3 linked regions of the Caenorhabditis elegans genome follow. The protein of the gene in region 2 purifies or fractionates together with the protein of the main gene of each other region. This does not show direct contact. Each region holds a gene or a part of one and is shown on either strand. Other genes may lie near its edges.

Evidence for each region.
Region 1: the proteins of C35D10.6 (region 2) and rskn-2 fractionate together in Caenorhabditis elegans (co-fractionation; one large-scale study listed by BioGRID). This does not show direct contact.
Region 3: the proteins of C35D10.6 (region 2) and F21C10.9 fractionate together in Caenorhabditis elegans (co-fractionation; one large-scale study listed by BioGRID). This does not show direct contact.

Annotation. Positions count from the first base shown.
Region 1 is NC_003279.8:8,008,670-8,022,038, forward strand, and holds rskn-2 (Ribosomal protein S6 kinase), read left to right. Parts: upstream 1-5,740; 5' UTR 5,741-5,798; coding exon 5,799-5,963; intron 5,964-6,233; coding exon 6,234-6,631; intron 6,632-7,011; coding exon 7,012-7,158; intron 7,159-7,202; coding exon 7,203-7,509; intron 7,510-7,614; coding exon 7,615-7,787; intron 7,788-7,911; coding exon 7,912-8,143; intron 8,144-8,202; coding exon 8,203-8,292; intron 8,293-8,464; coding exon 8,465-8,586; intron 8,587-9,114; coding exon 9,115-9,223; intron 9,224-9,469; coding exon 9,470-9,749; intron 9,750-9,800; coding exon 9,801-9,948; intron 9,949-10,251; coding exon 10,252-10,402; 3' UTR 10,403-10,911; downstream 10,912-13,369. Other genes in the region: C54G4.2 (Bromo domain-containing protein), read left to right, coding at 190-360; dod-18 (Nucleotide PPase), read right to left, coding at 11,026-11,161, 11,432-11,584, 11,628-11,731, 11,951-12,085, 12,133-12,198; C54G4.7 (AB hydrolase-1 domain-containing protein), read left to right, coding at 12,185-12,306, 12,375-12,462, 12,512-12,690, 13,061-13,369. UniProt on the Caenorhabditis elegans protein: Serine/threonine kinase that may play a role in mediating the mitogen- and stress-induced effects on transcription. May repress transcription via phosphorylation of 'Ser-1' of histone H2A. May phosphorylate histone H3.
Region 2 is NC_003281.10:4,855,702-4,865,206, forward strand, and holds C35D10.6 (NADP-dependent oxidoreductase domain-containing protein), read left to right. Parts: upstream 1-3,637; 5' UTR 3,638-3,642; coding exon 3,643-3,702; intron 3,703-3,750; coding exon 3,751-3,896; intron 3,897-4,234; coding exon 4,235-4,613; intron 4,614-4,655; coding exon 4,656-4,853; intron 4,854-4,904; coding exon 4,905-4,985; 3' UTR 4,986-5,071; downstream 5,072-9,505. Other genes in the region: C35D10.8 (PH domain-containing protein), read left to right, coding at 1-32, 82-231, 279-371; C35D10.7 (ULP_PROTEASE domain-containing protein), read left to right, coding at 502-528, 1,158-1,640, 1,686-1,740, 1,965-2,662, 2,838-2,990, 3,046-3,196, 3,390-3,436; C35D10.10 (Thioredoxin-related transmembrane protein 2 homolog), read right to left, coding at 5,142-5,301, 5,350-5,656, 5,702-5,876, 5,930-6,085; C35D10.5 (Ubiquinol-cytochrome c chaperone domain-containing protein), read left to right, coding at 6,651-6,758, 6,803-7,002, 7,052-7,177, 7,223-7,325, 7,377-7,574; coq-8 (Atypical kinase coq-8, mitochondrial), read left to right, coding at 7,737-7,925, 8,102-8,606, 8,652-9,061, 9,288-9,505.
Region 3 is NC_003283.11:9,093,478-9,102,902, forward strand, and holds F21C10.9 (N-acetyltransferase domain-containing protein), read right to left. Parts: upstream 5,220-9,425; 5' UTR 5,183-5,219; coding exon 5,014-5,182; intron 4,744-5,013; coding exon 4,576-4,743; intron 4,528-4,575; coding exon 4,403-4,527; intron 4,355-4,402; coding exon 4,156-4,354; intron 4,110-4,155; coding exon 3,817-4,109; 3' UTR 3,724-3,816; downstream 1-3,723. Other genes in the region: T27E4.1 (C2 domain-containing protein), read left to right, coding at 1-307, 434-500, 547-675, 738-858; F21C10.10 (3-hydroxyacyl-CoA dehydrogenase NAD binding domain-containing protein), read left to right, coding at 2,793-2,847, 2,894-3,036, 3,124-3,369, 3,415-3,651; frpr-6 (G-protein coupled receptors family 1 profile domain-containing protein), read right to left, coding at 6,304-6,424, 6,474-6,598, 6,648-6,773, 6,819-7,124, 7,236-7,392, 7,442-7,656.

The sequences.
Region 1 (13,369 bases), on a different chromosome or scaffold from region 2:
TCATTGATTTTTTAATTGAACTAATATAGAGAAACAAATAATGAATAGTTGTCAGTTTTTCATTAAAGACGATCCAGATACGCTGCCAAAGGTATTTTCAATCGATGCACCATGTGCCTTTGGGCGAACCCTGGATATTTTTGCGTTGAAATACTCAAAATAGTGTGAAAAACAAACTTAAATTTCCAGAGACGTCGCCCGGTGCTCTCGATTCAAAAGTTCCGTAAAAAGTACAAAAAACGTCTCCGCTCAGCGATGGATCAGGCAAGAAGAGGTTCACGAGAGGGCTCACGGGAGCCTGTTTCTCGTGAAGGATCACGAGAATCTGCTTCTCGCGAAGCTTCTCGTGAGAATGCGTAAGAGGAGCAACAACGAAAGAGCACTTTATGATTTTCTTGGTATTATTCAATTCAATACAAACGGGCTAACATGTCAATAAATCTACTTTTCAATTACTGTTTTAGATTAAATAAATTTTAAAGTTTCTCTGGAAGAACTAAGATTTCAAGCTTGTTGACATTACAATGACTTTTTCCAAACGAGCAAAATTGTTTCACTTTCCATATGAGCAAAAATCAATAATTTCAGAAAATACTATGTAACTTTGCTGAAACTACTGATTTTACTACCAATTCAAGTGATAAAATATGAAAAACATTACTTTCTATCTAATTCTGTTTTGATATTTTTTTTCATGTTCAGAATATGGTAGCAAACAGATTTGTGAGGAAGATTTTTTCGGCACCTTTACAGAATTCCATGTTTCTCCATGTTGTGTCAAAGCTTTTCTTTAAAAATTTATACAGCAATATAGAAAAATATTTGAACTTTTCGATGAAAATTTTAATTTTAATTCGATTTGGATATTGATATTTGGGACGGTCTTACTATTAGAGCAACTTTTCAAAACTCTCCACTTATATAGCTGAATAAATTGGGCTTTCGAATCTCTTTACTGTTCGGGAAATAGATTGCACGTTTCAGAACTAGTCAGTTATCTGAAATTCCTCTGAATTGTTTTTTTTTCTGTCAATTTGTGTACCTTGCTAACATTATTTTAGGATCGATTAATTTTGGCGTTCCCTATTATTTCCTATTTTTATGACATTGATCGGTTTAATATTTCCTTCATTGACCTCGAAAGTTGTTGCATTGGTAAACATGTGTACATTTTCTCTCCTCTTTTTTCAATTTTACCCGCTTATCAGCAACTGATAGGCGCGACGTCGCAAAAGACAGGAATATTTCGAATTTTCGATCCCTGCATTTTTTTTTCTAACACATTTTTTCGGAGTGTGGGTATTGCATTGATTTGGAAATTCATGTTTTAGTAAACCTCCAACCTTTTTTCAGTACATTTTTCACTGACTATAAAGTATGTAGATATTATGTGAACAATGTTCAGGAGAAATTTTTCAAAAAAGTTGGCCGAGAACACATATTTTTCAAGGACAGGTTCAATGCAATTCTACAGGTCTTGAAATTAGTGGATTTTTTTCAAATTAATTTGTCAGAATTTGTCAGAATTTCTAATTTCTAAACCATATGATTTTTTTTAAATTTTCAATAAAAAACTGTCAATCTTCAAATTAATTTCAAATTCCAAAATTAGTGTCATTCCCACTGAGTGATCTGTGTATAGAAGTGTTAAACAAACGATTGAAACGTTTTTCCCTCTTCCGATTATTTTCTAGTGTGCCTAGACGAAAAGACAACTATTTTATATAACCAGAGCGCTGGGTAAACTTTGTGTTTGTCAAATGACATTTTCTCTCTCTCTTTTCTAAATTTACAAAAATGTGCGAGAAAGAGAGAGAGAGAGAGGGGGGGGAGAGAGAAATATAGATAAAAAGAACGGTGTGTTGAAAAAAGATGAAACCTGTTGCCAAAGGGCGCCCATTTGGTCGTCAAGTGTTGATGAGACGAAGAAAAATGATGACGATGTGCTATGTTTGGCCACCTTTCTCATCAAGCCTTTTGTTCCAGAAATGTACTTTTACAATCATTCACTTTTTGAAATTACTTTTTCTGGAGATTTTTGGAGAGCTAGGAAATTTGAACTCTCAAAACTTTACATTATGTAATTAAGGAATTTGTTTGTTTTTTAAAAAGATATTGTGAGTCGTTTTGATACGCCGAGACTGGGGGCGCTTCTCCTCGCCTCTTCACTCGCCCAACTCGCGCCCGAACTTTTAACTCATGTGAACCTTGTGTTGTATTGTGTTCATATTTTATTTGCATAAAAATCAGTAACGTGAAATTAAAATTAAATAATGCGGTTCAAGAATCTAAAAAAAAACACGAACGTATTAACTGACTTAGGATTGAGATCATCCTCGGTTTTGTTAATTTCATTTGCTCCGATTTTCATGAGATTTGTTGCATGACGTATTCATGCAGCTATTTTCTTGTTTTTCCCTTCAAACTGCTAATTTTTTTTTAAATTCAATCAGAAATTTTTGCAATAGGTTCGCTATTTTTGAATCGGAATTTTTGTCCCTTTTCAAAATTAATTGTGTATTTTTCTTTTTCTTTTTTTTTGATAGATACAAATTTTCAAATAGTAGTTTTCTAGTTTGCGGGCATATATTTTCCAAAATCAGAAGCTTGTAGGAACTTGTATGATTCATGATTTGTTGTGACCTTGGTCTATAATTCATGAATAATATTATTATTATTTTGTTCTTGTTCTGCCATAATAATCACATTTCCCAAACACTTGATTTTTCAAAATCCTTTTTTGTGCTCAATCGTAATTACTGATCCTGCTTTTTCACTCATTTCTCTAATCTTTATATTTCATTTCTCCAAAAAATGTGTCTGAGTCTCTACTATAAACCATTAATCTCTCACTATTCTTTTTCTTTTCGTTTCTCTCTTCAATGCCATTGAAGCGGGGAAAAACCGACGACGACACACACCACACACACACAAACAACACATTGCATAGGCTATATCAAAAAATTATTAAAAATGTTCTTTTTTTTTTGATTCTTATAAAATATTTGTGATTCTTTCCCATGTAAAATTCCGTTTGAACTTAATTAGTGTTATCTAAAATGGTCTCTGATCTTTGATAGTGTCTCTTCAAAAAGAGGGTTGTACGGCAAATGTTCTCTTTTCGATATGGTTGTTTTAGATAAAAAATTAATATAATGTAGAATAATATTTAGTCAATTTGAACACAATTCTTGTTTTGATTGAATTTTTTTAAAAGTATCTAAAGACTGAAAGTTAGTCACTGCTGAAAAAATGGGTCAAAGTTTTGGCAAGTTTCGGTAGTTGGGCTCTATTTCAAACAAAATTTAGGATTATTTCCAGAGAGTTTTCGAATTTTTCAAATTGCTTTTGCTTTCATAAGTTTGCTTATTGCAGAGAAATCAGCAATTTTGTAGATTTTCCGCACACCCTAAATATCAGGTTCGACAAATTTTAAATGTTCTATTTTCAGCAACACGTTTGGATCAATTCTTCATCTCTCATTTGAACAAAAAATTTATTTTTCATCCTAAAATCTAATTTCAACAAAATAACTATCGTTTTTTTCCTTCCAGATGAATTACTAATTTCACTCTAGTTTTTGCAGAATTTTTGCACTTTCAGTTAATTCATTCATATTAAATTGATCTCTATAATTGCAAATGTCATTTTCTAATCATAATCCCATTAATTTCTGAAACTTGATTACGTAGAATGCATAAACTTTAAGTTGGCAGTCCAAATACACATGCAAATGTAAATTCGACCCTTTCTCGCCCATCTGCATTTTTCATTTGAGGTCATTTTACTTTTGTGACCAACTTTGTGTTCTCTGTGGTCTTTTACTCTTTTTTCGTGATGATAATTATAGTTATAGCAAAAAAAACAATTATTGTGACAAGCTGTGTCCAACGTTTTTCATAAATGTTCCTATAACTTTTGCTCCTGGGGTTCGGAAAGTAATCAAATATTTTTAAATATGATTTGTGTGTGAACTCTAGAAAACTTTTAAATTATGCTGTCAGATGCAGAATTTTCATTGACTAGCAAAAACACAAGTCGAATGCAAACTTGATTTTAACTCTAAAAAATAGTATGAAGAATTTTTTCTATTCACTTTTCCATCGTGGGTGCAAAACGGCAAAACAACCAAGATGTGGGCGGAACCATTACACCCTTTTAAAAAATAAAACTAATTTTGGTGAATATTTTAAAATAGATTCGAAAATATTTTGAAAAATACAAAACATTAAAAGATAAATGTATTACTTTTCTGAAAAAATTCCGATGAAAACAACTAATGAACTTGTTTTCATTTTGAGCTTTTCAGTTTCAAGTATTAAGATTTGAAATTCCTAGTTTTAATTTCTGGCCAGTGAACTTTTCTTTCATATTTCGTTTGATGTTTAGTGTATCACTGGTTTTTTTGCAAAATGTTTATTTCTAATTGATTTGAGTTTCTTTAAAAGCAGAAGTGATTAATTTAGGTTATTTTAAAAGCTTCAAGATATTTATTCTTAATATTTATCGCTAGAAACTAAATTTATACAGGCCCCATCATTCCTCTCGTTAATATTTTGTTGATTAGCTTGGTTAGTTTTCTCTTCGTTAGACGAATTCCCCAAATCTAGGTACCTAGAAGCAGTAGAAGTGTTGTTTTGATATTTCCTGTTTATATCTTCCATTTCTCTTACTTCTCACTCTTCTCATTCCTCTAACTTCTGCTTGTTGTGTTCTTGTGTTCCATTTGATTCTGCTCTTGCTCACCGGAGCCACGGCAGCAAATGCAACAAAAGAAAGGAAGAAAAAACGAAGCACACACGCAAAACACATGGCATATTTTCACTTTTGCATCGTTGTCTCTTTCTCTTTCCTTCTTCATCTTCCTTCTTCTTGCTTATGGCTCATGACACCACACCACTTGTGCTCTCTTGGCAGGAAAGCCTGAGCTCACAACTTCTTCAAGTTTTCAGAATATTGTTGGATGGAGAGAAAAGGGAAAGGGGATTTCTGAAAATGATCGGAGGTGAATAGAGTTGGTCAACAAATCTTTCTTTCTCTAGAAGACTTTTCATTTTGTTTTTTATTCTGTTTGCTATGTTGTCCTCTTTTTTGTGCTGTGCTTCTTCTTTTTCTTCCTCTCCTTCTTGTTCTCAACCTTCCAAGCGGTAATGGATTTCTCGTTTTCATTTCCTTTTCTGCAAGATTCATGTGATAATTTCTGTTTTTCCATGTCTCTTTTTTTCGCAGTCTTCATTCCAAATTTTGTATAATCTTCTGATTTCTTTTATTAAAGCCTAAGATCTCAAAACTTAAAACTCAAGATCTTCCTAATGACTTTGTCTTGTGAAATTCTATTATTTGTCATCATTCTCTTGATACTCAGTTATTAGAACTCTTATAGTTAGCCAATTTGTGAGTCATCCTCTAAACATGAATAAATTTGAAAATATTGTCATAATTTCGAAGTTTTCATGGATTTATTTAGATTAATCTTTTAAAGATTGAAAATATTTTGACAAGCTCCTTTAAGTTCGAATTTCAGAAGAATGCAAAATTACTTTTTTTTTGGAAAATTAAACAACTACTAGATTTAGTTTTGAAAACTAATATGTAAATTATTAGATCTGCAAAAATTGAGTTTGTTTTTTCAATATTTTGTTTTCACTCTATTCTCTTCTGCTCAGTCGATTTCACTTATAACCTTGTTATGCCTACGTGCATATTTGCAAAACCTCATTTCGTGCAATTTTTATTTTTCAGGTGATTAAACCCGAAGAACACAAAAAATAGGCAGAAGGCATACATATATAGAAAAAATGGAAGATATATTGATGCCTGAAGGAGAGAAAGTTTCCATGGAGAACTTTGCTCTCCTCAGAGTTCTTGGAAAAGGAGCATATGGAAAAGTATTCCTTGTGCGAAAAGTTGGTGGAAAGGATCATAATACTATATATGCTATGAAAGTGTTGAGAAAGACCAGAGTGAGTTATTTTTGGAAAAGAAATGAATTTAAAAATAATAATTTCTCATTTATACGGTGCTGAACCTTTGTATTATTATTTGTTTTTTCATCTCTCGCCAAGAGCGAAAAAACCGACAATTGCCGGAATTCATATTCTTGAAATGGTTTTGAACTTTTCGAAACAAATAACTGGATTGAAAAATTTTTGAGAGATGGGAAAGTGAGGTGAAATAAAGTTTATAGATTAGTATTTTAATATGAAACGAAAAAAAAACAAATTTGATTGCAGGTGCTCACAAAACAAAAAACCCTGGAGCACACAATGGCAGAGCGTCAAGTACTTGAACGTCTACGTGGAACACCATTTCTTGTCAATTTGTTCTATGCTTTCCAAACTGATACCAAATTGCACATTGTAATGGAATATGTGAGAGGAGGAGAATTATTCACACATCTTTGCTCGAGAGGTCATTTTGATTTAGAAGCTGCTAGATTTGTAATTGCTGAACTTGTGGTTGCAATTGATAGTCTTCATCAAAGAAAAGTTATTTATCGAGATTTGAAGCTTGAGAATATTTTATTGGACGAAGAAGGACACGTTAAGTTGACAGATTTTGGATTAAGTAAATTGTTTCTACCCGGAGAGTTGGATAGAGCCAATTCATATTGTGGAACTATTGAATATATGTGAGTTTTGAAATTTCCAGCCAAAGTTTAGGCACACTGCCAAACGTATTTGGAATTAAAAAAAAAAAGAACTTATCAAACCTCAGAATTATTTGCATGTCAATAATTTAAACATGATTAGAATATACAATTCGTAGTTTTTGATGTAGTTCCAAAATTAGGATTAACAAAAACTGGGTAATTGCTACTTTTTGGTTGTATATTAAAAGGTATCATTTTTTGTTGAAAATTATTGATCATTGATATTTGATTATTGAGCTATTGAATTTTTTCATTGAGATTTTCATATAATTCTTTACAAACGAAAATTGGCACAGACGGCTGTGTAAAAGTAATTTCTGAATAGATAAGAAATAAATTCTCAAGTTTAATGATTCCAGGTCGCCAGAAGTAATCAATCGCCCTGAAGGAGGATACAGTGATGTTGTCGATTGGTGGTCTTTGGGTGTAATTTCATTTGAATTGCTCACTGGATGCTCACCATTTACTGTAGATGGAGCACAAAACTCTAGTAAAGATATTGCCAAGTAAATCATTTCCTCATTTTCTTTATAATTTCTTCGAGTTTTAGACGAATTATGACAAAGAAGGTCCCTTTCCCAAAAACTATGGATGTTGATGCTCGCGATTTCATCGGCCAATTGTTGGAAAAGAAACTTGAAAAACGTCTCGGATACAATGGAGTTGATGAAATTAAAAATCATAAATTTATGTCAAGTATTGACTGGGATGCAGCTGTTAAGCGTACATTGAAGCCAGTGATTGTTCCAAGAATTGGACATGATTTGGATACACAGTTCTTCTCAGCTGAATTCACTTCTCAGCCACCATTATATTCTCCTGCAGAGTCACCATTAAATGCTAATACTCTGTTTAGAGTGAGTTTTTTCTTAACTTGGCAGGCACCGATTGCCGGATTTTGAGCCGAATTCCGAAATATGTTTGACAAAAATAAATTTCCAGAAGAAATTATGTGATTACAGGGATACTCATATGTCTCCCCATCTGTTATATTTGCCAATGACAATGTTATCGGTGAAGAACTAATGGCTGAAGATGTCAATGCACTTCTCGCGAGTTCTTCATTTTTTGCCAAGTACAAACTAGACAAGTCGGACGCTGGTCTTTTAGGAAAAGGAGCTTTTTCGGTGGTCAGGTAAATTTTTATATTTTCATCAACATTTCATGTGCTGGAACTATTTTCTAGATTCGAAAATCTCGAAAAAGTTCAACAAAACGTTATTTTTACATAGTTTTAAAGATAAAATATACAAATTCAGACGATGCGAACGCGTAGTTGACGGAGCCCAGTTTGCAGTCAAAATCGTATCACAAAAGTTCGCAAGTCAGGCTCAACGTGAAGCACGAATTCTTGAAATGGTTCAAGGACATCCGAATATTGTTCAACTTCATGATGTACATTCGGATCCTCTTCATTTTTATCTCGTCATGGAGATTCTGACTGGAAATGAGCTGCTCGAGAGAATTCGAAAATTGGAACGATTTACAGAGGTTAGAATTCTTTTAAGCATTTCTTTAATTCGGAGTTACTCTGAAAATTAAATTTTTAGAGTGAAGCAGCAGACATCATGCGGCAGTTGGTATCAGCTGTGAAATATCTTCATGATAAAAGAATTGTTCATCGAGATTTGAAACCAGAGGTGAGTTTCAATGATCAGATTATGTTAAGTGGCTGCAAAATAATACAAAACATAAGAATAAAATACTTCCAAAAAGTGAAACAAATTAATAATTAAAGGTGGAGTATACTCGAGTAGTTAGAAAATTATGACGCAATTTTTAAAAAAACGGGCACAGTTATTCTTATTCCAGAATATTCTATTTGAAAGTATCGATTCAAGTGCCCGCCTTCGTCTAGTCGATTTTGGATTTGCACGTCTACTTCCAAATTCAATGGAACAACAACTGAAGTCTGTTCAAGTTCTGCGCAAGATGTACGGTCTCATCGCACACAATCATTCACTCCACTCGGAGTAACATTTAGTCTAGTCAAAAGTTATTGTGTTTTGTCTTTTTTCACTCATTATTGGGCATATTTTTGTTTTTTTTTCTTAACTGGGAGCATGTGTCTCAAGCTGAAAATTTAAAAGAACAAATGTTCGAAAAAAGTTACTTTTGGTAGAGAGGAAGACGGTGGTGTGTGATGTTTCGTGCATTCTTGTTACAGATTATCTTCTTTTTCTATCCTTTTAAACCTTTCTTTTCACTTATCTCTACTAAGGGTTTCTTTCTTGATTTCAGAGATTTTTGAAGAAACACACTCATTCTCTGACTCTCACTTGATTTTCAAGACAAAGCTGTTTACTAACAATTCACAAACACTCACATTAAGTTTCTCAAATTTTCTGTAAACTTGAGAGTTAGAGAATGCCCAATTCATCTTTGAATAACGTTTGTTTTCACTAATAGCTTCTATATATTTGCCTAACTCTCACTATGAAATTCTTCAATCATAATTACAGGACCCCCTGCTTCACACTACAGTATGCTGCTCCAGAAGTTTTAGATGTTGGAGATTCTCAACCAGAATACAACGAACAATGTGATTTATGGTCACTTGGAGTTGTACTGGTTAGTTGTATAATTTTGTAATAATTTAATGTTTCAAAAATCGAAGTAAAAATTTTGAGAAAAAACAAAAAGACCCCTCAAATTTAAGAAACGATTGATAATCGATAAAAATCACGAAATGGAAGCATGCAACTACAGTACCACATCGTGAAAAATTTTTTGGACGCATTGAGAACCCTGGTTATTAGAAATTCATAAGAAATATTTTAAATTGTGTGGCACATTTTCTACGAATAAATTTTTCAGTTCACAATGCTATCGGGTCAAGTTCCATTCCATGCACGTTCTCGTCAAGAATCGGCAACTGAAATAATGCAGAGAATTTGTAGAGCAGAATTCTCATTCACAGGAGACGCATGGACAAACGTGTCAGCAGATGCTAAGAATTTAATAACCGGTCTTCTTACTGTGGATCCAAAGAAACGTCTTTCAATGCAAGAGCTTACAGCTCATATGTGGCTCAAGTCTTCGGCTTCAATGGATACACCACTTCAAACTCCTAGTATTCTGCCATCATCAGCAGGTAGTTAAACTGATGTTATTGAAAATTGAATAACCTAATCTTTTGACTTTTCAGATGAAACATTCAATGAGACACTGCGCGCATTCCTCCACGCTAATCGTGATGGATTCCATCTTCTCGATGTTGCTGCTGCTCCTCTCATGAAACGACGCGGAATCAAAAGACAATCTGGGGACAAGGATGCTTCTGGAAACTCGAAAAAGTGAGTTCAAGAACCCTAATATTTGAAACTCCTCCAATTTGGGGTACGGTTTCAAAGTGCACAAGAAACACCACATTTGACGACATTTCTCTAAAATTTTATTTTTTAGTTTTTAAGTTTGCAAATAATTGTAAATTCCTTATTTTATACTATTTAGAACGTCTATTCAAATATTATATTTATGAAATTATTAATAATAATTATTTTCTAAAAAAATATGATACTTCTAATTTTGATCGCATTGTGAACATTTTCGTTTCTGAAAATATACTTTCATTTTCAACAATTTATGTCATTTTCCAGTTCGCGAGTTACCCAATTCGAGTGTCTTCCGGAAGAACAAGAAGCAGAGATGACATCATCAACATCCCGTCCAAGCAATTTGGGAATGATGAACTATCGAGAACCAAATTCTGGAACAATCCGAGAAACTCGTGGCTCAGACTCCTCCTAGACCTTTTTCTTTGTTTCTTTTAATTTTTCTTCCTTTCTGTTCCTGTTTCTCTCACTGTTTGCGTTGTGATTCTTTCGTCCTAGATGCTTTCTAGTCTGTACTCTCTCATTATTCTCACTATTTTACAAATTTTCCGTCACCTGACACTTGTGGCATTGCCTTCTCTATGAGTACAGTTGCTGAAATGTTCATTGAACCTGTAGTGATTGTCATTTGTTAGATATTTCGCATTTCTAGTCAATCCTCTACCAATTTTGAAAAATATTGTGATTCGTGCATTTCATTTTATGTTATTATATCTAGTCTCATGTAAATTTCTAATTTTTTATAATCATTTTGTTAGATACACATATCTTTATTCATCCACCTATCCCCATGTAATCTTTTCATTGTCTCCAGTGACTCCCTGAACTCTTGAACCATTTCCAGAAATTCTTCCATGTTTTGCGATGAGCATGATTGACTTGCCAATCGACTTTTTGAAAGATTAATAAAATTAAGTAATTCGTTTTACATATTTATTTTGGAGAAGGTTTGAAAGCTCCGAATCATAATATCGATTGAAGCATCAACGTGAAAACCTGATGTAATGTGAGAAAATAAAATATGGAAGTGAAAGCATTTTAGAGAATATTTTTAGCGATAAGAGCTTGGTGAAGACGGTGAAGTGGCAAACCAACCACATTCGGCATACATCCTTCGATTCCACGAACGAAGACAGCGCCAAAGTCACCGATTCCATATGAACCTGCTTTTTTCCTGAAATTTCGATTTACTAGGTCAGTTATTCGTGTTTTTTTATTGGAGTTTTCAAATGTCGTGATGAAAATGATGAAAAACGTGATGAAAATTTTAAAAATCCCTCAAGTTTTGCAGCTCTTTCAAATACTCATAAAATGTTCAAAATTTCTTGACCGCCAATTTTTCTTTCATTTTTATGACTTTAGATAAGAAATTCAATTCCAAAAATTTTGATAACTTTCAATCAATAAATATTTCCATAACTTTTTTTTGCTAAAAAAAACTAACAATGGCTCTCCGCTTTTTACATATTCGTCGATAACTCTATCAGGAATATCTCCAAAATGAACAATTGTTTTCTCGATGATCTCTTCATATTGATCAGTTTCATGATAGTGTAGAGCCATTCCAGTATATACATTATGAGTATTGTTACGAAGTCTGAAATTAATTTATACAATTATGATGTTGAAAATTTAATTACCTTTTCAAAGTTTCTTTAGCGTCATTGGCATCTGTTGGTTTTCCAATAATTTCTCCATTGAATTCGATTACTGTATCACACGCAATAATAACAGAGTACGGCTCCTTAATAATTCATATATTAATATAATATCTCAGTTTTTATAATTTCAATTTTAGATTTTAAAAATATGGTAGCAGGTCTCGATATGCTGCAGCACTCTGAAATTTTGCGCAAAAAGTTTTAGGTCGCGTCGAGAAATGTTGCCGTATTTTTTTTGTTGAATTCCGATTTGTTTTTCAACTAATAACTATATTCTCAAGTTACTGAAAAAATAACTATACCTCTTTTCTTTTCATTTCTTCCACAATAGTCGTCAATTTTCCTTTAGCTGTTTCAATGACAAACTGCTTAACTGGCAATGTTTTTGGTAGATTTTCCTCGAAATTTGAAACTTTTACGATTACATTTTCCAATCCCTGAAACCGAAATAAATCTTTCTTTTTGTAGATTCTCATTTTCTCACAATTTGCTGCAACAATTTGAGTCGATTTGGTGACTGACTTGCCAATACAATAATGGCTTCTTTCATTCCGAACTTGCCGTCGTGGGCGAAACACGTGGATCTGAAATTTCGATCGGCTCTTGTGCTCAGTCAATTATTCACAAAAAGTTGGGGACATCCGGATGTAATTAAACAGTACGTTTTGTTTTAATTGAGAAATTGAGAAACTAATAGATAATTAATTATTGTTATTATTATTTTAGAATGGCAAAATATCGCAGAGATGTCATGTCAAAGAGGCTTGTGATGGATTATGTGAAAGAACTTAATCCCAAAATCGACATTGTGAAGGTAAATTTTAATTTCTCAAAAACATTTTTCAATAATAAATAATTCTCAGAAATATTCAAAAAATGGCGTAACTTCATACGAGGGATTTTTCGCAAGTCCTCATGCCACTCTCTTTCCCAATCATATGCCAGGAAACGTCGGTCGAGCACATTTCAGAGCATATCTTCCTCAGAAACCAGGCCCCGTATGCATACATTTGGCAGGCACCGGAGATCACTCTTATTTTAGGTAAGAAAATTGAAAATTTATTTTAAAAAATACGGTACCTGGTCTCGGCACGACAAATTTTTTTGTACTTTAAAACTCGCTGCAGAGTTTTTAACTTACAGTTTCCTTTAAAGGCGCACACCTTTTTGCATTTAACAAAATTCATCGTGTCGAGACCGGATACCGTATTTTTGTCACAAAGATCGAAAAAGTTTGCGTCTGAATAATACATATTTAATCTAAAAAGAGAAAAAAACTCAAAAACTGAGATAAAAAGTATCGCATCTTACATAGATGCATAAATCGAATAATGATTCTTATCAGAGACCACAAAAATTTCGAAAAAATGCAAAAAAATCAAAACTGGTATCATAGATCACTATTATTTCAGACGTCACTATCTTCTTGTTGATGACATGCTTAAGGATGGTGTGGGATCTATTTTAATTCAAAATCCATTTTATGGAGATCGAAAACCACCGAATCAATTCCGTTCTTCTCTTGAAAATGTGACGGATCTTTTTGTGATGGGTGCCGCTTTAATTGCAGAATGTAATCATCTTTTCAATTGGTCTGAGACACTTGGATATGGTCCATTTGCAATTTCTGGTGTCTCGATGGGTGGATTTATGGCTCAACTTGCTGGATCAAATTCGCAACGTCCAATATCAATAGTTCCTATTCTTGCATGGACGACAGC
Region 2 (9,505 bases):
CAAGAGCCCTCACCCATGGACATCTCTTTGTGGTATTTGCATGATTCAACGAAGTTTTAGTCTTAAGATTCATGATTTCAGCCAGATCCGCCGACGCCTTGTCGTCTGTCCATTACACCATGTGAATCGGGAAGTGACACGGAGTTCAAGAATGCACGGGATGCTCATTACAAAGATGAATTTCATAGAGCGATTAAAATGGCAAACGAACGACTAGTAATTCGACAAGAGGTTCAAATATTATTTATTTACATTTTTAATACTGGAAATGCTTTCAGAGTACCCAAATCATGAGAATGGAATTCAATACTGATACAAGCTCGCCACCAACATCTCCGGACAAGTCAGAAAAATCACCCGAATTCTTCTAAGATTGACTTCAATAAAATTATTATTTTTCGTTTTGTTGTTAGATATACCATTTTAAACAGTTTCGGTCTGAAAATATCGGAATGTTGGTCTTCTTCTTTCATTCTTATTTACTATTTCAGGCGAGAAATCATGCACCAAAATAACGGAGATTATCGGGTAAATAATAATAAATGTTTACTAAAAGCTACAGTACTTTTGCATCCTTCAAGGGAGGTGCATTCATGCGGAAGAGTCTCGCAGCGAAAACGCGATAGCGCTTACTGTAGAATTTCAGTTTGGAAGATTCGAGTTTTTTGGGCCTCCATTTTTCCTTCTTTTATTGAATTTTCTCAGTTTCTTCGGCAAGGTTCATTAAGTACAGTTAGCCATCAATTTTTCTATTATTATGTTCATTCTGAATGAATGCACACGCTTTCGAAAAGAGATAAGAACATTTATTTCAATTACTCTGCAGGAAGGTAGAATCAATGCAAGTGAAAGCGCGCGAAACATGTGTTTTCAAAATCTATGACGAAATCTCTATGTTCTAGGTGTGGAAACCCGCAGTTTCTTTTAAACAAAAGTTAATATTGTTGTTTTATTAACACCCCCTTTGAAATTTAACTCGGTCTACCCATTTTCCTACACGACTTTGCTTCTTTTTGTTAATTTTTCTGATTTTTTAGCATTCAAGAGAGCCAGTTAACATTTTTAAAACTATTTGGTATCTATAGTTTTTTCCAAACAAATATTCTCATCGTGTAAAAAATTTTCTCATTGAATTCTAAAGCTTTGATGTTTTTCAGGTCAGAGGATCTCGTCCATCGAGAAGTTCTGAGCACGCCGGCCCTTCTCTCCACTGCAAGAAGCCCGAAGGTTCCATTAGAGATACTCTTCGACTGTCTGGCAGCTTCAAAATCTACAAAGAGCCTATGCCGGAACTGGTATGTGACATACACTTGGAAAAGCTTGCGGAAAACATCCAAAAGTATTCGAAAATCGAAGAAAGGAAATACAGAGAAAACGATATGCATGTGAATGACGATTCACATAGTTCCGATAGTAGACCCACATCGGATAATGAAGTTAGCTCGAGCTCTGACAGAAATAACGATGAACCAAGTGTGCGGAGAAAGAGAAAATCCGTCGAGAATATGTGTCATGAACGAGAGCACCACGGGGATCATTTACAGATGCAAGTAGCTTCAGTGATTGCATCGAACCTGGGACCCATGGTGGAGATTGTGGAAAAGAAGCTCTTGCAACACAAAAATGCGGAAAAACTTTTGGTAAGCAACTGGAGTAAACTTGATTACTGAATATTTCTTTTTCAGAACGATGGCCGGGAAGTTTTCATTAAAACGTTGGAGGAACATAATCAGAAAAAAGGTATTGTGATAATAATAACATTTATTTGTCTCTGTAATAGCTATAGTGGGTGTCAGATGCTTTACATATTTTTGATTAATTTCTTTAAAGGCTCATTGTAGGGAGACACTTTTATTTTGATGATAGGAACTTTTCACAGCACATGTGCCTTCCATGTAGCTTTAAAAAATATGTTTCCACTGATATATAATCTTCCGCACTTTTTTATCTAAAAATAATTTCAGAAAAGGTTGAAAGAAAGGCGAAGCTCGTAGCAATACCACCAATGAAAGCTAGAAACAGGAGGTCTTCACGCAATAGCTTGGTGTACATAGATGGTCCTTCTACTTCTGAAAGTCATTCTTCAATGGTTCAACAAGTTCCCATCATCGACAACATTCCCGAAGTGCTCGAAAATGAGACAGCTGTCTGTTCCATTTCTAGTGAAGCAGATCATAATTCGAGAGGAATCAAAGATAATCAAGAATTTGCAATTGAAATCAGTGGGGAAGTGTCTCGAACCGACGACATTTGTGATGACTTTGCCGTGTTCCTCAAAAAATGCACAGTACTATTGACGAAATTTATTGACTCCTACTATGATTTCCGTTCAACTATGAAACTTAAGCCAGAAGATGCCATTGAGCACTGGAGTGCTGAACGTTTGACCAAAGAGGAACACGCCGCGAGGGTCACAAGATTTGATGTGGCGATCGCTAGAGCGACACGTGTGCAGTATAACATCGATATCAAGCTTCTAACAAAGCAAAGTTTTGTGTTTGACGATGATCGTGAAGCTGCCATTAATAAGAGGCTCGCCCGAATCGAGCGTTTTGTGAACGAACAACATGAAGAAATCAATTGGTTTTGTTTTTCAAATTTTTCACTCATGGATATTGGAGAAACGAAGGATAGATATTGTCTCGGCGATTTTTATGACAAGGTATTACAACTTTTAAAATGTAAAATGGCCACGAAATACTGAATTTGATAACGAGACTGTTTCAAAAATTAATTTTTTTTTTTTTGAAGTCTTGTTGTAAAATTCGGTTTTTAGGGTCATTTTAACTATTGAAACAACACAAAAGTTTGATATATAATGTGTATTTTTTTCGCAGGCTATCAGTATGATTCCAAAAGTGAAAGATGTCCCGAGTGTGGTGCAACTGGCGAAAGAGTGTAAGATGTGGTCCGCATTTGAACGAATTCTCAAGCAATACAATTTTGAGCCGCTGAAAGTTTTTGAAGAATTGCAAAAAATGCTTGAAAAGGTACATTTCAGTTGTTCTGTTCGAATTTAAATGTTTACATAAAATTAATTTTCAGGATTATTTTCTACCGAAAGGTAAGATCTTCTGCCAATTCTTGCTCAATGTCGCCCAACTGTTTTCCTATGATGTCGTTAAGAATGAATGGTCTTGCATCAAACAAATCGACGGGACGTTGTTTTCGGGAGTCCCATTTGATCGCGATGGAAGTGAGTTGGCTGAAAATTATTGAAAAAAAATTAGAAAATTACATTTTTCATCTGAAAAATTGGAAAGTTAGTCTGAAATTCTGAAATATCACAAAAGAAATGCGAAAACGATAAATTTAAAAAAAATTAAAAATCCAAATTAAAAAAAAAACCGAAAACTTCAGATAATCATAATAATCTATGTATTTTTCAGATCTACTCCCCACTTCTCAAAATTCGCCGACCGAATGCTCTTCTTGATTGTGTCATTTTTCTCATTTTTCCATGTAACACATCTAATCATTTCATTTTCATCTTACCATTTTCATATTTTAAACTTGCTGCACAATACATTTTTCCTTTTAAAAATCGTTTTTTTTTTCAGTCTTTTTTGGTTTGAAGCCAACAGTTATTTATTTACTTTTAAACAATTATTTCAAGTGTAATTGTTTTGCTTTTCAGGATCAATGGAGCATCGTGAATATGTTAAGAACAACATGCCATTGATCGGAATTGGCACGTGGCAGGTATTGACTTCGAATAAATCAATTTTTTGACTAAAAAATAAATTTAAGGTTCAAAAAGAAGAAATTCTTCGTCAAGTGATTGATGCAGGTTTCAAAGAAGGATATCGATTCATTGATACGGCACAAGTCTATAACAATGAAGCTAAAATTGGTAGAATCTTGGAAAAATTGCTTCCAGCAAATGGGTTGAAGAGGTAGGTTTTAAAAAATTTATAATTGTTTCTAAATCTTTTTTTAATCCTGCGAGAAAAAACTGGTTTTGGTGTTTCTTTGATTTGAAACCCATTTTCTCTAATTTTCAGCAAATTGTTTCGCTAAAAATGTTTAAATTGAAAAATGAAAAAAAATTCGACAAATTATATTCTAAACCAATAATCAAAGCAAACATTTAAAAAAATTTAAACTAGGTTATTCATTCAATATTATGTAATTCAAATATAGTTCAGCCACTTTTAATCTACAAAATTGAGAAATAATTTTTAAAAATTCAATAAAACCACAGAGCCACCAATTGAAGCTATCTTTTTTTCAGAGAAGACATCTGGATCACGTCAAAGTTAGCCCCATCTAATGCTGGCGTTAAGAAAGCTCGGGAAAGCATTGAGGAGTCACTGAGCAATCTTAAAGTCGAATATTTGGATCTTTTGCTCATTCACTGGCCTGGAAGTTCCCTGAAAAGCGAAAATCCGGCAAACAAGAAACTGAGAGTGGAAAGTTGGAACGTTATGTGTGAAATGATGGCTGAAGGAAAATTGCGTTCAGTTGGGGTCTCTAATTTTGAGATTTGTCATTTGGAAGAATTGAAAAAAGATTCTAATGTTGTCCCAGCAGTCAATCAAGTTGAGTATCATCCTCATTTCCATCAGGACGATCTGGTCAAATACTGTAACGAAAATAACATTCATTTCCAGGTGGGATTTTTCTAAATCTCGCTCTCTTGAAGTTTTTTTCAGGCGTACAGTAGCCTTGGCAGCCCAACATATCGTAAACAATTATCCGAAGAACCTCTGATCAAAGAACTTGCTCAAAAGTACAATGTCGAGATTCCTGTGCTCCTTCTTGGATTTGCTTATTGCCAGGGAATTAGCGTACTTCCGAGAACTACAAATCCAGAGCATGTTGCTACCAATTTTAAAGTTACTAAGCTGGCGGTCTGTTTCTAGATGGTTTTTAGTCCTAATGTCTAAAATTGGGATTTACAGATTACTCAAGAAGACATCGATCGTTTATTGGCTTTGACTGTCGAACACAAAACTTGCTGGGATCCTCGCGTAGTGGTTTGATTTCCAAAATCATTTATCATTATAAATTTAAAGCTACAAATAATCCTCTATATTCTAAATAGATGTATAAATTTTAAATGCCGAGTTATTATTTCTTGTTGTTGAAAGATCTCGTGATTGAGTCGTATATGGAAATTTTGAGCTGTCATCGAATATTTAATCTTCTTTCTTCGCTTTCGCGCCTTTTTTCTCCTTCTGCTCATTGTACAAATTGAGAAGATCGAATGCAAGAACACAGTTCTCTTCACTGAACACAAATGGAACAGCACGACGACTATCGTTGACTAGTGGACGACGAGCGATTTCCTTTGCGTCCCTAGAAATTACAGATTGGTTGAAAATTAAAATAAAGCTTAAATCTTACTTGAATACACAAATAGTTGGTAACTGTCGTGACATTGGATGAGCATTCACACGGAACCGCTCGCCTTCTTTTGCCCATCTTCCAATATCCAATTTCCCAAACTTCATGTTTGGAAGTGTGAACTTTTGACTCAATTCCGCAAAAACGGGTGAAGTATGTCTGCATTCTGGGCTCCATGTTGTGAAGAATTGAATAACCCAGATGGTATTTCGATTTCTGGTAAGTTCTTCGAAAAGCTGTTCACCTTGGAAATATGTCACTTGCTCTGGACCGTTGTACACGGGTTCAGGGAAAAGAACAGTAACGACTGAAAATTTTAATAATTATTAAGGAGATCGAGAGAAAAACTCACTTAAGCAGGCTAAAATATAGATGATTCCAGGCAGAATATCGGCACGAATGAAAAGGAACATGCCGGCGATCTTTGAGAATAAAAATATATTGTTGACGTAGTGCATCCAATTCGTCGCTTTTCGTCCTTTCCATGCCAGAATTATCAGAAGAAACATGAGAATCTCACGCTCGCGCTGAAATTTCAGTGTTCAGTTGCTTCAAAAAAAAAATAAATTCTTAATCTAACCGAATCAATCTCGCATTGCTCATTTCCTTCAACTGCAAACACATAATCACATAAAGATGTTGATCGAATCACTGGGAACGCCAGCGCTAAAAGAGTGTTGAAGAAGTGAAAAGCGGTCAGTGCTCGACGAACTTCATCGAGACGAGGTATCAGCATTCTGTTGTCTGCATAATAAAATTATAGAAAAATCAATAATTCGAGTGTTTAAAAGTATGTTGAACAGGTTGGAATAGTTTTAGCTAAAAAGTGTAATTTTAATCTTGACAATTATGTAAAATTTAAATTTAATTTTTCTTCTACCGATTTTATGAGAAAGTAATAAAGTATAAAAGTATAAAATGTTCACTGGAACATGAAACTTGTCGCCGGAGAGCAAAAAGAAAACCGAAAAATGTTCTCGTTGCTCCGATGGCCGAGCTTCCAAACAACTATTCATTTCTAGGCCACTGAAACAAAATGTTAAAAGTTTCAAACTAAACTACGTTTTCTTAATTTTTATTGTTATATTATAAGTAGACGAATACCGACTTTCAAATAGCATAAAGCTTTTCTGTTGAAAATCGTTTTTCTAGGGCCTGAATGAGTAATGAAAGTATTTGAAATGGAGTTGGAAGAGTTTTTATACTTTCTAGGCCAGGAGATGTTTCTGTTATTTTTCGGGATTTAAACATTTATTTAATTACTTTTAAATACTAATTTATAATTAAATTTTTTGTTCAGAATGCTGGGTTCAAGTCGAAACATTTTCCGACGCCTAGCTACATCGTCTCGAGTTCTTTCCAATGCGAACAAAAAGACAGTAGAAGATATGACGCAAGAGATGTTGCAAGTAAATCTCTGAGTAAATATATTAAAGGCAAAAGAAAATTTCAGATGCCAGTCTCAAGAGTTCCTCCAACTATTCAACGATTCGCGACATCTCTAAAAATGAAATTCAAGTCCGACGGTCTTGATCAATCAGTGAAATCTATTCTTGACCGCGCATCAGCTCAACTTTATTACAATTGTGCAGATAATTATGATTTCGCAAAGCTCTGTGAGGCATTTGGACTTGGAGATTATATGTCTTCGTGGTAAGCTTTCACCTTTAGTTTTTTAACCATTATTACTCCAAAACTTCAGGTACAAGTTGACACTAATGCATACATGGATGGTATTGATGAGACTTCATTCAGAATTTGATGGAAAAGCATACATGAGATTACAGCGAGGTCTTTTATCAACAATGTGGCTGGATATTGATAATAGGTAAAAAAATAAATTTCAGAGAATACTTTGAATATATATTTTCAGGCTAGGAATTGTGAGCAAAGAGTTGAATCAAATTATGACGGGGCAAAATGATATGAAGCACATGCACGGATTACATTTGCAGACGTTTTTCGAATATGACGAGGTTTGCTTAAACACACAATGCGGAAAATTCGTTTACAAAAAGCTATTCTAGGGATTCCTCCACGATGACCGTGTTCTTGCTGGTGCCATTTGGAGATGCTTATACATGAATCGAGAAGTTGATCCAATTCATTTGCTGAAAGTTGTGACATATATGAGATCTACAGTTGCTTGGTTGGAAACACAGGATACGAATCAAATTCTTGTTGAAGGAATTTCCGAATGGAAACAACTCCGGCCCTCCACTTGATTTTTTCCTTTTATTTCAGTCTTCAACAGTTTTATTTAGTTTTTAGATTCGATGTTTTTTACTCCGTTCATTTTTTTCCTCTCATTGTTTATACGCGTGTTTCTCTCCACTCTTTCCCTCGAAATTTTTGCAATAAATATCTGAATTTCAGATCCATCAAAAATGGCAGCAAAGCGGCCTCCAGCCTCGACTCTGAAGTGGTGTCAACAGGAAATGGGACCAATTTGTGAAGGAATCGGGATGGTCGTGAGAAGTCAAATTGGGTATGATGGACGGAGAATTGAGAAACAGATAAGACGAAAAGCATTGCAGACGGTTGTTATGGGAGGACAAGATGTTGACCCATTGAAGGTATGATTTAAATTTTCGAAATTTTGATTATTCTTTGAAAAATGATATACTTACTCCAAAATGTGTATTTTGAGTATTTATAAATATATACACTGAACCAAAAAGATAAAATTTTAATTTTCAATGATTTTCTTTTTATTCTGTTTTTCAACATTTCCCTAATTTCCATATTTCAGGAACCAAACAAAACCAATGCTCCACTGCTTTCCCCAACTCTTCCTTCAACAAACGAAGCTCTGCAAAGAGCAAGAGTGGTTGCTGCTGGAATTGAAACATTCGCCAAACTGATGTCTCAAGGCACTTATCCTGGATCAGCTGGCTTCACTGTTTCGGAAACAGGCGAGAGAAAATATATGAAACAAACGTCTCCAGTTCAATCGAATATCGTTGCGAATCTAATGGCAACTGCTGACAAATTGAGCAAAGGAGTTATTTCTCTGGCACCATTTCCCCTTCCTACAATCACTAAGCTAGGAACATGGGTGATTGCAAATCCCACAGCACAACTGCCGATTCCACCACAGCTCAAATCTGCTATCCCAGCAATAGGACAGATTGAAACTTTGATTCAGTCTATTTTGGGAGTTCAAGGACCAGTCAGTTCTGTTTCTAGAGCTCCACGAAAGTTAAAGTTAGAAGGTGTAACTGATCAAGTTGTGTTGGAACCTGAAACAATACACGGTAATTTTCAGAAATATTCAATCTTATAACCTTATTTATTTATAGCAACTGTCGATGTTGAACCAATTGACAAAACATTAACAAAAGAAGAAGCAGAATTTCTCATCAAAGCAGCAAGATCTGTTGATGACGACAACGCTGAGACAGCAATCTTTGGAACTCAGAAGGCAAAACCAAAAGTCTACCGACCAGAGCTTCCAAAAAACTTTGAAGTTAATCTAGAAATGGGAAATGTACATACATTGACACGAAGTAATGAGAGCTCAGTGCCAGCAACTCGTATCGGAAGACTTGCTACTTTTGGTCAATTAGCATTCGGTCTTCTAGGTGGAGCAACAGCAGAAGTCACTAGAAGAACATTTGGAATTGGAAAGAGGTTACAAGAAGAAGGAATTCCAAAGAATCCATTCCTTTCAGAAGCCAATGCTGATCGTATTGTTGCCACATTGTGCAGGGTAAGTTTCTTTAAATGGGATAAGAACTTTTGGTTATTTTCTTAAATAGAATTTAAATGACTCCAAAACGGCCGTATTGTTGAGTTTGGCAATTTTTTGATTTTCTTGTCGAAATTTTGGCCTGCCATAAAATTTTTTGGTTTTTTTTTTGGAAATATTTGAGAAGTATAGTTGAGGAAAAAAAAACAAAAAAGATATAAATTATCTCAAAATAAAACAATTTCAGGTTCGTGGAGCTGCTCTTAAACTAGGACAAATGCTCTCAATTCAAGACTCATCTACAGTACCCCCAGCACTTCTTCAAATCTTCGAACGAGTTCGTCAATCAGCTGATTTTATGCCAATTAAGCAGGTTCATCGTCAAATGAAAGACGCTTTTGGTGATGATTGGAGAGAGAAATTCGAACATTTTGATGACAAACCATTTGCATGTGCTTCAATTGG
Region 3 (9,425 bases), on a different chromosome or scaffold from region 2:
GCTTCCACAACTATTTACAATGAATTTTTCACATGCAAAGTGGCGCCGCGGGAATTCAAAAATACTCTTCTTCGTATTCAAATCTGTGATATCGACGAGTTTGATCAGAATGTGATTGTGGCAGAAATGGATTACTGGATAAACACACATATCATATCACAATTCACACAATTTGAATTGCCATTCCCTCCATTTACACCGGATATTGGAGAAATTGAGTTACACATGACATATCTACCAACTTCACAACGACTTATCTTGCATTATTCAACTGTGACAAACTTGAAATTGGACGAAAGTTGCAGTGGTAAGCAAATTTGGTCAATGAGTGTACCAAGCATTAATTTGAAATAATAGTTTTGAGTTTTAACAATAGTTTTTGGGAGGCGCTTTTTTTTTAATTTTTCAAACGTTTCTCATAAATATTTTTCAGCAATATTCATTCGTGGCGTCATGTTTGTTGGTGGGAGACAATTTGAACGGCATCATTCCGAAACTAGGCAAATCCCAGTACTTTTTCAATAATATATTTTATATTTTTGACAGACGGCGATTGGAAAATGCTTGTACAGATGACGGAATGCATTTCACTCACAAGTTGATTTTTGATTTAGATCGAAAATATGTTCCCAAAGCTGAAGTAATTATTCATGTGCTGCAAGTTGTGGGTGATAAGTAAGAATTTGAGCTCAGTGGCATTTGAAAATTTGAAAAGTTGTATTAATGAACAATTGCAGACATCTGGTGGTCGGGCAGGTGTCACTTTCAATGCTTCACTCGGGTCAATGCCAGCAAATGCTCAAATCTTTGAGGACGACAATTTCACGTGTTCATCGGTTAACTCCAAGTGCTGGTTGAAAAATAAAATGTTTTGTGATAGTATTTTGTTAGTCCATTTGAAATAGTCACCGCTCTGCGCCAGCTGACTGGGTGTTCTCTGAAGGGAGCAGGCGCAAAGAACGATTGAAAACGTGGTCTAAAACTAGTGCAAAAAGATGTTTACTTCTGTCTCAACGACAAAATATTTACTTGAGAATAATTGTTCTTTAAACTGCAAATTTTGATCTATCATATTTTTAATATTTTTGTATCTTTTTAGAGAAAATATAAACAAAATTTAAACACCCATAACTTTGAAAGAAAATCATTTTCTAAAAATTGAAATTCTAGAAGTGTTTAATATATATTCTTTCTTGTTTTCTATTTCTGTTTTTGTTTTTCTTAAACCTAAGAGCATTGCCAAAGAAATTCCACATAAATCTTTGGAAAAGAGCATCGTTCTTGGTTTAAAACAGAATAGACTTCTACATGGCTTTTCAAGAGAAAATGTAATGGGTTTGTTTTGAGTTCACTATTATTTTTAGATTAAAGTTCAAAGCTTTCAATACTTATTCTAGGAATTTTGAAAATTTTAGAACAAAAACAGCTAAACTGAAAACGGCTAAATTGTTATCATACCTTGCATATAAATTTACGAAGAAAAAAGTTTGTGACGCGATGTTGGATTTTTCTGTCAAGTAGTTCCAAAGAAAATTATTTAATCAAGAAATTTCTCAATATTTTAAAAACAATTTTTTGAGAAAATAAAAGAAAATGTATTTTCAAATTATATTTTCAAATAACACCAAAACATTGAGGCATTTGGTTGAAATCACAAAAAAATATTTGAATAAATGAACTCGATGAGTTTTTGATCACATGCTTTTCAGCCAAAGAACGCTCAACTGCTCTCCGGAACAAAGAACTATCGGTCATCTTCCTTTTGAACAAACAAGTATAAAGATTCATTGTTCATCTTGCGAGATTTTTTTAAATGTGAAAATGTGTTCTTAAACATCCATTCATATGCAAATGAAATTCTCTGACAAATCGACCGCAGATAGTCCCGGGTTCGTTTTTAAGGATTATTGTTTCTAGCCAGCTAATTTTATATTTTGAAAATGAAAATTTAAAATTAAATTCCAAAAAACTTGAATTTTCTAGTTTATTTTCCCTAAGAAATTGCTTCGCATTTTGAACTTTCCCATTTTCTCTCATTTCAGTACAAAATTGTACAAACTGAGAGTGCTGGGTCCGTGCCTATACAATTATAATCAGTGTTTTATCATTCCACGTTTTCGGCATTCTATTCGGCCATGTGGTTCTCAGATAAACTTTTTAAAAAAATTGGACACATGTTTGAACCATTTGTAGTCGCTTTGCAAGCTTATCACACCAACAACCAAACACATCAAAACCGATACAAACAAAGAAAAATATTAATGTGTCTCGAAAAAAGACCACAGCGAGAAAAGAAACGCAGGAATCATATGGGGATCATGATGTTCACGTGTTCCGACGAGACCTCTCTGAGAAGTGGGTGCAAAGAACTGCAAACCAAGAGGGACTGAGAACAAAAGAAATACAAGGAGAGAAGAAGAGACGCAGATGGTCAAGATGCGAGGTGGGAGGTTCCCGGCGGGGTGAGGACAGCTGATATATAAATACATTGTATATGCTGCCTAGATGCATCTTTTTGCCAATTTGCCTTCTTTTTTTCCAATTTCGTTCCTTCTAATCCTTAATCAAATCTTTACTCTTTTTCAACAAAGAAACATCAGTGCATTAGTTTCATGGGGGCGTTGTTTTCTCATTTTCACCCATTCGGATGCTGATTCAAAGCCCATCTCTCAATTAGCAACAGCTCCTTTTTCCTCTCATTCCATTGGTTCTTCTTCAGTGCTTTTTCTTTGTTTTCTTGCGGTCACGTCACATTTTAACCATATATTCTTTCATTGTTTCTATTTCAGAAAATGTCTTCAATCGTTGTTGGAAGTGGAGTTCTTGCTGAAACTGTCGTCGGTCTTTGTAAGTTTGTCATTCTGAAAATGTATACTTAAATTACAATTTACAGTGTGCGCTGCCGGGAGACGTGTCTCTCTTGTTGCACCAAGTGGAAAGGTCAATGCTCTGAAATTCGATTCAAGTGTCATCAAGGCTATCTTGCAAGAGGACTCTGAGAAAAAGATTCCATTCGAATTCATCGATGATATTAGAGTAAGTGAGAATTCAGAAATATTGTTTTCATTTTTAATATAAAAACCTGAAAATAAGTTCTCGAAAATAAATTGCAATTTCTTTCAGCAACAACAAAAACTCGCTGACAAGAACTTCAAGAAGATTAATGTGACAACCGATATTTCGAAAATTGAAGCTGCTGATCAAATCATCGATGCATGCTCTGCCGATGAATCTTCTCTCTTCATTAATACCGCTAAAGCTGTTCCAAATGCCACAATCATCTCCCTCAACGGTGAAAAATCTCCAATTCACTCGAATCACGTGTCTGTCAAAATGTACAGCCCCATTCATGAGACAAAGACTGCAAAGGTATCAGAAGAAACAAAAACGTTGATTCATAGATCTTTCTTTCAGATGTTCACCAATTCGAAGGTTTCCAAAAAAACTCTCGAAGAAGTAAACCAACTTCTCGATTCGATGGGCCTTACTGTTCTCAGTGAGGAAGATTCTCGAGTTGCTGATCGTCTTGTACTTGATATGCAACAAGTTGAGAAATCATCATCTCTTTCGAAGCTTATTTCTACACTTGTCACACCACTCAATGCTCCAGCAACTCCTTCAATGCCAAAAGAACAATACTTGCTTTTTTAGTTCGTGTTTCTGGGAACTTTGTACATTCATTTTTCTGACTGTAATTAAGATCTCCATGTAGATCAGCTTGTTTGTAATAAATTGGAAAGCTATTTTATTGAATATAAATGTCAACTTAAAGGAAAAAAAAAGTTGATTATCATCAAATTTGAAATATTCTAAATATCAGTAATCAAAATGACAGGAGCTATTAAATGGAATGTAAACTTTCTCAAGATCTCCTTTGGGCTGATACACATCACTGTATAGTGTTAATCCACTGACACCTGCATTCAAATTGAGGCTTTTGAAAAATTTATGAAGAACTGTGAAGGATCCTTCAGGAGTATCAACAAGATGGAAAATGAGAGTAGCTTCAGGATATGTTTTGAGCATAACTTCGGAAAGGACTTTCATTGTGTAAAATGCTATGTTTGATGAATTTGCGTAAAGGTGGCAAATTTTGAAATTGTTATCTTCTGAAAGTCATTAACTGAATTCCTCAATAATTCAAAAAACTAGTACCTTGATGACCAGTAGGAACCGCAGAAATAACACCATCTATGTCTCCAGATTCATTGAAAAATGCAATTCCAATAGTGTAATCAAGTTTCTTGTAATAAATCTCCAAATACTCTCGACGATCTCTACTATTCACACTTTTATCGTACTTCAAAAACTTCTCCCAATCTGTTTCAGATAAGTCTCTCACGCGTTTTTGAATCTGTTATATAATATGCATTTTTTGTAAGTACGACGATTCTCAACTTACAAGCCCCAAATCTTGAAAATTTTTCATAGCAGAATAAAAGTCATTTGAAGTTAAACGGTAATTTTCAAGCAACGCTCCATCCACAGGAGTATCTCGGGATTTGTATTTTGGAGCCATTTTGACGACTGAAATCGGTATTTTATTTTTAAAGTTGAATCAAAATACAAAGAAACCTCCTCTTAAGCCAAGAACCAAGTCTTTCCTAATACGAGACATTGCTTGAGCCCAGATCATCGACCCGATGCCCTTTCCACGATACTCTGGAGCCAAAAGGTAAAAGCCTAACCAACAAATATCATCATACTCGTTCCAAACAACACTTCCAACCATGCTCCGCTCTGCTGTAAAAATTTCTCAATTTTACAAAATTCTCCGCCAAAATCACCAAAGTTTATTCATTTTACAAAATTAACTGTAAATAAATAGTTTAAAACAAACACAATAAAAAGTTAAAGATTTTAGTCTAAAATCATATTGCATGTCTCTAATAAATCAAAGTATTAATTGATAACATATCGGTCCTTTTTCAAACTAGTTAACTAGTACTTATCTTTTTGTTGCAATAATAAATCACGTGCTTCTAAAACTAATATCAAACAGAGAAAACTTACGCGTTTTAGTAACTGCAAAAACACTTCGCGTGGTCGGAAGAGATGGAACCATTTCGGTGACCGAATTGTCATCTGATGTCCATCCTTCGGTGTCCACTAAATTTTTCCATTGTTTCCACAATGGGCTAGATGAATCAGGATTATCAATAATTTCAAATAAAGTTTTCATCTCGAAACTAGCTGAATAAGTTGAAAGTGTGAGTCCTTTTTTTTCTGTCTAGCCAATTTATATATTAGTTCTGATATCGACCAACTGTTGAACACACAGGTTCGATCATTTACTGATAGCGTACACAAAATACACAAGCTACAAGATTCGCGTACTACAAAATGCGGAATCAAATGATAGAAAAATTTTATTTTGTAATTTACAAGAAAATGAAAACAACTGTTCACCCATTCAAAAATGAAATTTCATTTATTTCTGTACAATAAACGTTTTTTTCATAGCATATTATATTTTTATCACCCACCGCTTCCTCCTAAAAACGCAAATCTCATCACGTTAATTTAGTACAGTTTGTATAATTCCCGGTAAATATCGTTTTCCGTTAAAATTTTTATTTCATCTATCTCAAAATAGTAGATGAACTTTAAAATTCACAATTGCATGTTACGATATTTTGAACAAATCAAAACCAATCTATATTTAACATTTGGTTATTTTTTTAATTCTAGTTCCTAAAGATCACAAGTCCTATTTTTTTGGTTTCATTTATTGCATCTTTTCTTTTCATTTGCTCCGAAGTAATCAAAAGCATTCGAGGAACAAACTTTTGAGATTCTAAATTTCCCATGATTACCTTCTTTTATTCTCATAAATAATTTTTCCATCTTTTGGTTTTTACTTCTTCATTTTCAATATTTTCCTTAAACTATGCATTAAAAACGTGCAGGATGCTTCGCACTTTCTGGAGGTTTCCAAGAATGTGGCTTCTGTTAGTATATTTGGAAAGTTGCATGATTGTTTGAACTTTAGACCTTTAACTTTTGATTTTTGTACCGAGATCACTATCTCAAAAGCTAAAATTATATATTCATACTTTTCCTTAACCAGACAGTTTGTTTCCATATATATCGTCTAATTTTTAGCATATCATAAATAAAATTCACAACATTTTATTTCATTGAACCGTTCGTAAGATATAGGAAAACAACTTTCGGAATGATTATTATGACGCCGAAGAGGATGGCAAGCAGGAACAAAAAGATCCAAGGAAGTAAAAAAGAAATATCAGAAACAAAAGATCAAGAGATTGGGAGACTACTATATATCCTATTTTCAGATTATTATGCCATTGATGTTTTTGGTGATGTTTTTGCCAGTGAAGTACATATTGAATCGGATTTTTGAAGAAGCTTCCGTTTGTTCAAGTCTGTGAGGCTATTATCCGGAAGGTTGCTTCGTTTTCTAAAATAATATTTAATTGAAAGAATAAGATTTTGATTTTAAAATTTACTTGAACAAATAGCACAAAATATTCCTGAATCTAGCCGAGAAAAAGTAATATATGAAGAATGTCGTGCCAATATGAATGACGATGAGAATATTAGATACTTCAATCATCACTTCGAAATATTCATTCTGAAATGACATGTTCAGATTATTTTATTTAAATCTTTTAAAAACGTACGTGTCGATTGAGAAAATCTTTAAAAATGCTCTCGAACAATTTGAGAGCCATACTGAAAAAGTGACAGAATCCAAAGAGAATAGTCACAACCAACAACATCACAGTTGTATTTTGCTCTTTTTGAAGCTGGAAATATAATAATAATAGAATACAAACGTGTAAAATATTTACCGAAGTCGTCAAAAGTGCTCTCTCCTTCCTTGATTTTCTCAGTTCATTGATGACTTTCATGTTTGCAATGAACATTATAACAAATGGCAGAAGGTAGTCAAAAATGACAGAAATGATGATAAAATATGAAATGTAGTACCACCAGTGCTCTTCTGCATCCAAAATTCCACGTTTTGGCCAGTATCCCAATGCATCCGAATAGCCAATTTGGTATTCAAAGAATTTAGGGAAGTTCAGAATAATTGAAAATGTTATGATGGCTATAACAATTCTAACTGAGTTTTTGAATGTGCACCAAATGTGGACCTGTAAATATTTTCAAATTAGATTTTCTGTGTTGAGATTATAATTTGAAATAAAATTCTGATGTGAATAGTTTCCAATTGTCTATTGACAATTTCACTTCACAAGACTTACCTGTAACGGTCGGCAGACTGCAATCCATCGTTCTACAGTAATCACCACCATTATATAAAGACTTGCAGTTTTTGCAGTCATGCATAACGGATAGAAGAATTTTGTTGAAAATGCAATAAACATACGGCGCATTGACCAAGCACCATAGACATTGTCCCTGAAAACAAGATAGTTAAAACCAATTAAAAAAAATATTGCAAACTAACCAAATAGGCAAATATGAGATGCTATATAGTGGAAGCGCAAAAAGAAGCACAAAAATGTCACAAATTGAAAGTGAGTAGAGTAAGAAGGCGACAGTTGACTTTCGCATGTTTGGAGTTGTGTAGACGTATAGGGACAATCCATTTCCAACTAATCCAACTAGTATTATTGGAAGATAAATCATTGAAACATATTCGGGCCATCCAGTCAATTGCATATTGTTCGAGAAATTGAATCTGAAAATTGTCGATTGAAAATTTTCGAAATCTTTTGTAATTACAGAGCTGGAGAAATGTCATATACACTTGTCGAGCAAAGAAACATTTTCCCTAGAAAAAAAAACGAAAATAAGAAAATTGATTTTCAAGAGAGCTACAAAACCAGGAAACATGTAAAAAAGAAGCATCGGGAATAAATATTTTTTGAGCACACCTATTGTGCTCCGAACTCTTGCATTATTTCCACTTTATTCAAAATATTTTCAAAAACAACTAACACATCCCATCACAGGCGGAAGATTTTTATATGAAAACAGAACGAAAAGCAATAATTAAACAAAAAGTATCATTTAGTCAACTGACGTTACTTGTCTGTCTGGAGTTGACAAAAAGAACTTTCATAAGGTACTTTGAAATGACAAACTACAAAAAAGTGGAAGTTGGAGTTATAACATATTTACTGAAAATGAGGAATAAGGAAGAAGAAGCGTCTTATTCTCATTATTAAAATGTATTAATAGAGCGGAAAAGGGAGAATCTGGGTGGAACAACTCTCAAGAATAATGAGAGTTTTCAAAGATTTTTGAGTTTTTAAAATATATCCAAAATCTGAAATAGATAGTTTATAAAGCTCAAAAAAGGAAATGCATCGATTACCTGAAGACAAGAGGAAATGAGATAGGAAATTGCATCCAGCAAAGTGCACGAAGTTAAAAAAATGTTATTGCAGAACACTTTCTTGATTGAAATTTCAATGTTTTTAGATTGAAAACAAGAATATTCTGGATTTCTTTCTGTCATGAGCTCCAACAATGACATTAAAGTTGATTGATTAAATTGAATTAAAAAATAATAATTTATATTCATGAAAATTTATTACAAGCTTGAAATGGCAAAAAAATTATGAACAGACTGGAATAAAAACCCAGTTTATATCATGATAAAACATACATAGTTAGTGACGTGGAATTGTACTCTTTTATATCCAGAGGGCGGATATGGTAGAAATAATAAATAGTGATGAGGTGTTTTTATGAACAATATACTACAAGTTATTTATCGCTTTGTTTTTATTTTGTATTTTACTGGGGCACAAGTCTGAAACTTGCTTTGAAAAACGTGATACTATTTCAAAATGATGATATGGAAACTTTATAAAATTAACATTCGAAAAGTTCTTAAAAATGTACTATTATTGTACAGTTATAAGCTCTTTGCTTACAATTAGCTAGAGATGCAAAAGGATTAGAAAGTGAACTTAAATCCCAGACCGCTTATTTTTCAGACGACCTGCCAAATAAAAGACCCATTATATGCTCAAAGTTTTCAGGGACCGTTTAAAACTCAATTGACTAGGTATTACGCAAGATAAGTAATGAGGAAACAGCTGAAACATCTTGAAACCTTCAATCAAAAGTCTCGAACTTCAGCTTGATGACGTGGCAGAAAAAACGAGTTGCGTGATAAATAGAAATTATCAAGACAGTTTTGTGGTATGTAATTAGTGGTTGAAAGAACAAATGGGCGGGACTAAGTTTGTTGAAATCAAAGCCAACAAAATTGCTTCTGAGAAAGAACTGAAATTCAATAAAGCACGAGAAGAGTTCGACGAACAGAATAGAAAATACAACTTATTTTGGGGTCATCCCGGTTTTTCAAAGATTTTTCAGGGTTCTCGCGCCACTAATAACTGATTCATCATTTTCTCACCAACATGTTCGATGATTTTTGAGTGCTCTCAGAGCTTTATTGAGTGACGGAGAAAAGG